2 linked regions of the Canis lupus familiaris genome follow. The protein of the gene in region 1 binds, or shares a complex with, the protein of each later gene. Links are inferred from orthologs where the notes say so. Each region holds a gene or a part of one and is shown in the gene's direction. Other genes may lie near its edges.

Region 1 (3,908 bases):
TGCATTGAAGCTATAGATCAATTTTTGGAGTATTATCTTCCTAACAAGATTAAATCTTATGAATAATTAACATGGCTGTCTTCATTTGTTTAGGTCTTCTTTAATTTCTTTCAACATTTTGGGGATGCCTGGGTGGCTTAGTGGTTGAGCATCTACCTTCGGCTCAGTGCGTGATCCCAGGGTCCCAGGATCGAGTCCCACATTGGACTCCTTACATGGAGCCTGCTTCTCCCTCTGCCTCTCTCTCTGTCTCTCTCTGTGTCTCTCATGAATAAATAAACAAAAATCTTTAAAAAATTCTTCTTTCAACATTTTGTATTTTCCAGAGTACATTTTTTAAAAATTTTATTTATTTATTTAGAGAGAGCATACACATGCAAGTGGGGGGAAGGGCAAAGGAAGAGGGAGAGAGAATCTCAAGCGACTTTGTGCTAAGCATAGAGCCAGATGCAGGGCTTAATCTCATGACCCCGAGATCATGACCTGAGCTGAAATCAAGAGTCAGACGCTTAACCAACTGAACCACCCAGGTACCGCTAGTATAAGGTGTTTTTTAAAGTTTTATTTATTTAAGTAATCTCTACCCTCATCGTGGGGCTCAAACTCATGACCCTGAGATCAAGAGTCACATGCTTCTCCAGCTGAGCCAACCAGGTGCCCTCAGAGTATAAGTTTAATGCTTCTTTTGTTACATTTATTCATAAGTATTTTATTCTTTTTGATGTTACTGAAAATGAAATAATTTTCCTAATACATTTTTGGATTGTACATTGGAAGTATATAGAAATTCAATTAATTTTTTTATATTGATCTTGTATCTTGAAACCTTGCTAGACTAGTTTATTCTAATAGATTTTTAGTAGATTTGAGCTTTCTTTTCAAATAGAATCCTACTTTTAAGTGGATGATTTTTGTAAAGTAGATAATTGTTCTCTACCCTTCCTAAATTTTGAATTCTTTTTTGAAGTACAGCAAACTCTGGTTTATATATTATTATCATTTTGAATTTCATTTTCCTGATGAATCTGATCTTATATCATAACAATCTAGGTTAGTGATGCTAAGTTGAAGGTAGGGAAGGATAGTATTTTAGAATCACTAAGGGGGCATTTTCAAACCACATATCCCATCTGAAGATTTTGCCACCCTACCCTATTTGATTTAGGATCAGTGTTCCGGTGAGCTGTGTGTTAGGGAATAAAAAAGACTGAGAACCACTCAGGCCTTCTTAGACAAGTATGTTATAGCATTCTGTTGTGAAGGGAAGGGGTCTGTGTAATTATTTGTGGTCCCTTTTATTAATATCACAAATAATGATGAAAACATCTATCCACAACAGTGAAGAATAGAATTCAAACTTCAGTCGCATTCTGTTGAGAAGACTAGAGTTCGGTCTTGGTTCTGAGTTTGGTGTTGGTGGATGTATATTTGTAGCATCAGTGTGGTTGATGGATTCAGAGGAAGAGTTAGGTGTCTATGTATTATCTCCATTTAGATCTTAAGGGAGAGTTTTGTATTGAATTTGATACGTTTTCCTTCTCAGGCCCCAACAGAACATCTGAGCCCAAGTGAGATGCCGGAGGATACCAGCACTCCTGAAGAGATGCCACCCCCAGAGCCCCCAGAGCCACCACAGGAGGTGACTGCAGCTGAGAAGTAGCCTATCTATGGAAGAGACTTTTGTTCGTGTTTAATTAGGGCTGAGAGAGATTTAAGGGGAGAAGATAAACCTGAGACAGAGAGCAACCGAGCTGTCCCTTTTATTGTTTTCCTTTGGTCTTATTCACCCAATTGCACACTGGCATTTTCTTGCTGCAAGCTTTTTTTAATTTCTGGACTTGAGGCAGTCACGGAAGATGTCAGTCACCTCTGGTAACTGGACAAATGGGTCCCTTGGGCCCCGACACTGGCTTTCAATGGCCTTAGCCATGGAGTCTCCTTGGACTCCCCTCTCTTTCCTCCAGATGCCAGCTCTCCTGCTTGGGGTCATTGACCCAATTCTGGGGTTAAAGTTTCTTGAGACTGGCTCAAATCCTCCCAAGCTGCTGCATGTCATGAGTCCAGAGGCCGTCACAGAAAACTCTGGCCAGGGAATCCTAACTGGATTCCCAGGGCCTTCAGAACTGAAGAGGGTGAAGAGTGGGCTTGGAGGATTCTCCTGGCTACAAAGTGCCAACATTGCCGGCAAATCCTTTCAGGAATGGGGCAGATAACTTCCACTTGTATTTATTCATGTAGCTTCTCCTCTGTCCCCTGCCCACTCTCTAACACCCAAGCCCCACTCTTTTTCAACTAGAAATATGTAAGTAGTTACTGTAGAGAAAACAACCACATTTCTTGTAGACTACCTGGAAACTTTTTAATACCTGTGCCATTCTTAGTAAGAATTTATGAGATGCCAATGACATGGCCCCTTGCACTCTTTGTCTCATCTCTCCTCCTTTCTCGTTAGCCCCTTTTGTTTTCCTTTTGACTCTTGCTCCTGCTAGGAGCAGGAACAGCAGTAATAAAAGTCTGCACTTTGGTGATTCCTTTTCCTCAGAGGAAGCCTGAGTGCTCACTTAAACACTACCCCCTCAGACTCCCTGTGTGAGGCCTGTAGAGGCCCTGAATGCACAAATGGGGAAACCAAGGCACAGAGAGGCTCTCCTCTCCTCTCCTCTCCCCCTATGTCCCCTCAAAAAAGAAAAAAAAAGAAAAAAAAGAATAACCAGTACTTCCATTAGGCCTCGGCTGAGTGAGGAGGGAAAGCCCAGCACTGCTGCCCTCCCGGGTAAACCCACTCCAAGGCCTTGGCCCACCTCGGGCTTGGTAACCACACGGGGGCTTCCTCCAAGCCCCACTCTTCCAGCACTTCCACCGGCAGAGTCCCAGAGCTGCTTCACCCTGGGGGTGTGCTTTGACCCCCAGTCAGCTCTGCTCAGGACCTGCTCTATTTCAGGGAAGAAGATTTATGTATTATATGTGGCTATATTTCCTAAAGCACCTGTGTTTTTCTCTTTCTAAGCCAGGGTCCTGTCTGGATGACTTACGGGGAGGGGGGGGAGTGTAAACCAGAACTTTTAATCTATTTGAAGGTGATTAAACTGTGTCTAATGCAAACTGCCTGCCTCCTCCTTCCCCCCTTCCATTTCAAAAACCACCATGAGGTTGTGAATGTCTTTGTGTGGGGGGTAGGGGTGGGGGTTGAAGGGGTTGCTTGTTATTACATACTTCCATTTTCTAGGGGACCCTTGAGTTGGAGAAATAGCTCCCAAACTCTCCACTGATCTAGACCACATTTTGAGCTAAAGTTTACCTTATTCTGGACTATGAAGTAAAGGGCTTTCAAAGCAATATACAGTTTAGCACGATTGGGAGGGTTGGAGGGGGTATATTTACTTAAGAGAACATGTTCTTTATTAGGATATTGTTTTTATGCAGAGGGATGCTGTTAATTGCAAATGAGTCTTGATTATTAAAGCAGGCTCCTTGGAGCCTCCTCTTGGAAATATTTTGTTAGTGATCTTTTACAAGCAATGGCATATATTTCTTTTTTAAATGGTCTAAAATCAAGACTCCTTACCAATGCCTATCTCACCCTTCCCAGTTAATCAAAATTCATGAAATTTGGCTGCTTCCAGATTTTTCTGTATGTCTTCTTATTTTCTTCGTATTAGAGTTTGAGTGTAGCAATCAGGAGAAGCAGAGAGATGGGTTCTGAGTGACTCAGATTCCTCTCCTATCTGCCTCTATTTTTCCATTCTTTTTCTGGATCTCTCACTTTTATCTTTGTAGCTAGATTTCATTAGTTCAACATAAGGCCAAGCCTGAAGAATTTGGAAGTTACTAGATTTTTCCAGTTAACCTGACACTCAGATGAACTCCTTTAGCCCACTCTCAGCCTACCCTGTCTCAGCCCATCTCTT
Region 2 (4,618 bases), on another chromosome or scaffold:
AAAACTCTTAAAACTCAATGATAGGAAAACAAACACAAATACATTGCAAAAGACTTGAACAGATACTTCAAGAAGATATAGGAATGGCAAATAAGTATATGAAAAGATGTTCTAATTTTCTAGTCATAGAAAAATAAAATTTATAACCACAAATAAGATACCTCTATACAAGTGTTGGCAAAGATGTGGAGCATCCCTCATATGCTACTGGTGGGAACGTAAAATGGTACAACCACTTTGGGAAACAGTTTGGCAGTTTCCTAAAAAGTTAAACACTAGATATTTACCCGAGAGAAATGAAATCATATGTCCATACAAAGACTTGTAGATGAATGTCCGATAGCAGTTTAATCTGTAATAGCCCCAAACTGGAAAGCAGTCCTAAATCTGTCCACAGAATAAACGAATGACAGGATACTCAATTCAATGGAATACTACCCAGCAACAAAAATGAATGAATTCTTGATAAAACAACAACAGATGAATCTCAAATGATGCCTATGTGAAAGAAGCCAAACAAACAAGCAAGAAGTACACACTGTGATTCATTTTATATAACATTCAAAGAAGTACAAACTAACATATAATAGCAGAAAGCAGGTCAGCGCCTGGAGAAAAGGAGCTGGGTAAGGGCAGGAGAGAGGGATTACAGAGGAGCTTGTAGGACATGCTGAGGATGATCAATGTTCACAGTCTTGATTGAGAGGATTTCATGGTTGCACACGTATGTCAGAACTTATTACACTGTTCAGTTCAAGTATGCTCCGCTCATTGTATGCTGTTTATATTTCCATAAAACTTTTTAAAATACAGTAAGAGAAAATTTTTAAGATATATAAAAGGCAGGGTAAGGCATCGGTGCCAACAGGCTGTATCAGGCAGGCTCCAGCAGCTGAGGGCAAGGCGGAGTTCCTTTGGCTGCTCTGCAAAAGTGTGTGCTGAGTCAGGTGGAGCCCCAGAGGTCACGGAGGGGAACCTGTCCTCCCAGCCGCCCGAGGGATGTACAGACTGGGCGCTGGATGGACATCTCTGCGGGAGGAGGAACGGTGACCCCGCAGAGACCTGAGGACGGATGCTCGGTAATAAAGCCCAAGCAGGGTCTCCGTCCCCTCCTTCTCCCGCCCCCTTGCCAAGAGGATCCCCAGGCGTCTGCTTTCTGCTTCCAATTTTGTGTGAGCAGTTCGTTTTGTCCCGAGTCGGGCGGCACCCACAGGTAAGCCAGGACGTCAAAAACTACGTCGATCACTAGGGAAATGACACGACACGGATATGACACAACAGGGAAATCCCGAGTATTGGACCGGGGCAAACGAGGGGAGCGTGCAGCAGCCGTAGCTTCCCGGGCCTCGCCCCGCCCCGGCCCGGCCAGGCCCGGCCTCTTCCTTCCGTATTGACGCCCCCGGGCGGGGCGGGGCGGGGCGGGGCGAGGGGCGGGGTCGGCCCGGACCCCGCCCACTGCGCCTCCTCACCGCAGCGCGCAGCCTCACCAGGGTCGCTTTACGGCCGGGGCGAAAGTGAGTCCTCTCCTTGCGATAGAGGCTGAGCGGAGGGGCGGGGAAACAAGCTCTTTTGCGGCAGGACGTAAGTGGCGCTGTGGGCGGTGCGACTGCAGCTGGAGGGCAGAGGAGGCGGGTTCGTGTTTCCCGGGCCGAACCGGGCTGCGGGGGGTGCGGGGCCTGGCCCCGGGCTATAGCTCAAGTCCCGCGGGGCCAGTATGGGTGAGGGGGAGTGGGGCGGGGCACGCCTCGCGCCACCTGGGCCCGTGGGGAGGGGCTGGGGGGCGGGCGGGCCGGAGTCTCGGGTCCAGGCCGGGGATCTGACCCGAGGCTGTTGTCCCCCCAAACCCGCAGCGCGCCGGTCCTGTCCTCGCCATGAGGCCGCAGCAGGCGCCGGTGTCCGGGAAGGTGTTCATTCAGCGAGACTACAGCAGCGGCACACGGTGCCAGTTCCAGACCAAGTTCCCCGCGGAGCTGGAGAACCGGGTACGCACCCTGTCCCCGCACCTGCTCTGGGGCGATGGGGGCGGGCCTCCTCAGGGCAGACACCGGGCCCGCGGTGTGCCTGGCGGCGAGGGGAGGGGAGGCGAGGCCCGGACGCGGCGTTTGGAGGAGGACGAATAAGACCGACCCCCGGGTGTGGTGACCTTACAGAACTCTGTGGTGCCGAACCAACCAGCCGCCTTCTTCCCCCCGCGCCTCCGCCCCGCCCCACCCCCACCCCCACCCCGGGTTATTGACAACAGTGATGAGGAACTAATTCCTGAGGTTCCAGCCACCTAGCTCAGCACGTTGTAAACTATATCCTCCCACCTCGCCAGGAGAGTAATCATCATCGTTCTCGTGATTGGGGTTCCTGGCCATGGTGCTGGTCGCCCTGCTCGGCAGAAGGGGTTTATTAAATTGCTGTACCAGGCAGTACGGACAGGCCTGCTGGGAACCTGAGCAACGTGGAGCATTAGATCGGCCTGGACAGGGAAGGATCTCAGAACAAGGCCTGACACTTGCAATTCCCGGTTATGATCCCCGGGAGCCACCTGTGTTTTGTTGGCTTGCATATCAGAATTGGCGTCAGGATATAGGTCCCATAGGCAGCCCTGCACCTAGAAATGGAAGATGGAGCTGTGTTTCCTCTTTCTTCAGACTCGGGGAGAAATTCTTTGTATTTTATTTTAAAAATACAACGAAGTGAGCATGTGTGAGTTTGTTTTCTCTTGTATCTGAATGTGCTCACCCACCCAAAGAAAGAGCTTTTGGTCTTGAGCCATGTTACCTTGCATTCTGTTTTCTTTTTAGAGATCAGTTTCTGGTTAAAGGGGAGCAGGTTTTCTGCTCTTTTCTGCTTGATGGGGAGGGTGAGGGACTGAGGTGATTAGGTGTGTTGTGGGTGTGGGAGTAAGAAATACTGGTCATGGGATAAGTGGGTATAGAGGAGTCTGTACAAGAGAAATGTGTAGCAGTCCTTTAAAATCAGCTTGTAACAGGTAGATTGCTCTACCTGAATGCCAAGTTTGGAAAATCAATGTGTATCAATCCTAGTGTCCTTCGACTTAATTTATAATTGTGGTCAGGTTAGTGACCCAAGTATGTTTCTTTAAGTGCAAATGAAAGATCAGGTATGCTTTACAGGGATGGTGTGTGGATGAGCTTGTCTGTGAGATGCTGTATTAAATGCTGCACTTTGCCGTCTAGATGTTGAGTTAACTCAGCTTGACACTGGGTGGACATTTCCATCATGGTTTCAAGAGATAGAAATTGAGCAAGTTGCCTGTTGTCTACCGCTACTGAACGTTATTTTTAAAATAACTTAACATCCTAGTTAACATGTTTTACGTGTTAGGACTTGTATGAAATGGATCAAATGTTTTATTTGTAAGCCTGTTATGGAAACTCTGACTTATACTATTTATGTACTTTCAAATCAGAGTGTAAACTCTTCTTTCTACCACACTTACTTGGATGTTATAAGATTCCTTTGTTTTTTTTTTGTTTGTTTTTTTTGTTTTGTTTTGTTTTGTTTTATGATAGTCACAGAGAGAGAGAGAGAGAGAGGCAGAGACATAGGCAGAGGGAGAAGAAGGCTCCATGCACCGGGAGCCCAATGTGGGATTCGATCCCGGGTCTCCAAGATCACTCCCTGGGCCAAAGGCAGGCGCCAAACCGCTGCACCACCCAGGATCCCGATTCCTTTGTTTAAAGGTTTTATTTATTGTTTGTTTGTTCGTTTGTTTAAAGGTTTTAAAGTCAAACTTCCAACTCATAACTGAGCCAAATATATATATGCAGATATGCAGGACCAGACATTAGCCTTCTACTCCATGTGTGGTAGAGCCTTTACTTTATAGTCTGGATTCTGAGAATCTCCACGGATTCTTACAGGAAATTGATGTTTCTAAATTCTGGAGTCCTTTTACTTCTTTGACTTCAGATTATAGCCTAGAACTGCTAGGCTATAATGTGACTCTGAGTACTAACTATAGGGAGTGTTACTTGGTGCTATTCAATTGTGTCTTTGAGGGTGTTTTTTTTTTTTTTTTTCTTCCTTTTTTTTTTTTTTCAGTGTTTGGGTTAAAACACTAGTTTATGCTTTAAACTGCTTGGGAGAGCTTTGATTTTTCTTTTAATGTATTGAAATCAAATTTAAATTACAGGTTTAAATTTTCCTTGCTTTGTTTGATGGAAAATTAAAAGGTTTCTGTCTTTGTTTCTATACTACTTACCCTAGAAATTGTACTGATTGCTCTGCCACTGGGCTGATTTTCCTCTGGGGAGAACATCACACTTGGTAATTTAATAGAGGAAGAAACTAATATACAAATGTTTTGTATTACTTTAAAGTATTAGATACACTTACATTTGTACCCTTTAATCTGGGAGGGAGGACAAGTTCTGCCTGTTAACAAGTTTACTTCTGCTGCTGCCTGGTAAATGTAATACTTTGATGCTTAACTTTGTTGTCAGGACACTTCTTAAAGAGAAGTGTCTTGACACTTTATTCTCACTTTAGCCAAACTACAGGCATGTTAGGTACCCTTGGTCTGGGTGGGAGAGAAATAAGTGAACTATATAATTTGAAGCATTTGTTCCCCTACATACCTTTAAAAATTTGTGTCTATATCCAG

Evidence for each region.
Region 2: the proteins of ZDHHC9 (region 1) and GOLGA7 are in contact, whole or in part, in a cryo-EM structure (PDB 8HF3), measured with the Homo sapiens proteins. The link is inferred for Canis lupus familiaris from reciprocal best matches to the Homo sapiens genes ZDHHC9 and GOLGA7. Residues at the interface, in NP_001008223.1 of Homo sapiens: Phe78, Ala81, Arg85, Ile94, Pro95, Leu98, Asp100, Glu101, Phe104, Ile105, Phe129, Gln130, Ile131, Asn132, Ile146, Pro149, Pro150, Arg182, Tyr183, Leu186, Tyr274, Lys281, Cys284, Glu285, Leu287, Cys288, Gly289, Pro290, Leu291, Pro292; in NP_001002296.1 of Homo sapiens: Lys11, Phe13, Gln15, Tyr18, Ser19, Ser20, Gly21, Thr22, Ala57, Glu58, Leu60, Ser64, Tyr65, Gly68, Cys72, Ala75, Tyr76, Thr77, Phe79, Leu80, Tyr86, Glu87, Leu90, Ile116, Arg118, Gly119, Arg121, Val122.

What each region holds. Positions count from the first base shown.
Region 1 is NC_049260.1:101,905,629-101,909,536, reverse strand, and holds part of ZDHHC9 (palmitoyltransferase ZDHHC9), read left to right. Parts: intron 1-1,543; coding exon 1,544-1,660; 3' UTR 1,661-3,908. UniProt on the Homo sapiens protein: Palmitoyltransferase that catalyzes the addition of palmitate onto various protein substrates, such as ADRB2, GSDMD, HRAS, NRAS and CGAS. The ZDHHC9-GOLGA7 complex is a palmitoyltransferase specific for HRAS and NRAS.
Region 2 is NC_049237.1:24,832,162-24,836,779, reverse strand, and holds the start of GOLGA7 (golgin subfamily A member 7), read left to right. Parts: upstream 1-1,485; 5' UTR 1,486-1,581; exon of another isoform or gene 1,582-1,718; intron 1,719-1,850; 5' UTR 1,851-1,871; coding exon 1,872-1,982; intron 1,983-4,618. UniProt on the Homo sapiens protein: May be involved in protein transport from Golgi to cell surface. The ZDHHC9-GOLGA7 complex is a palmitoyltransferase specific for HRAS and NRAS.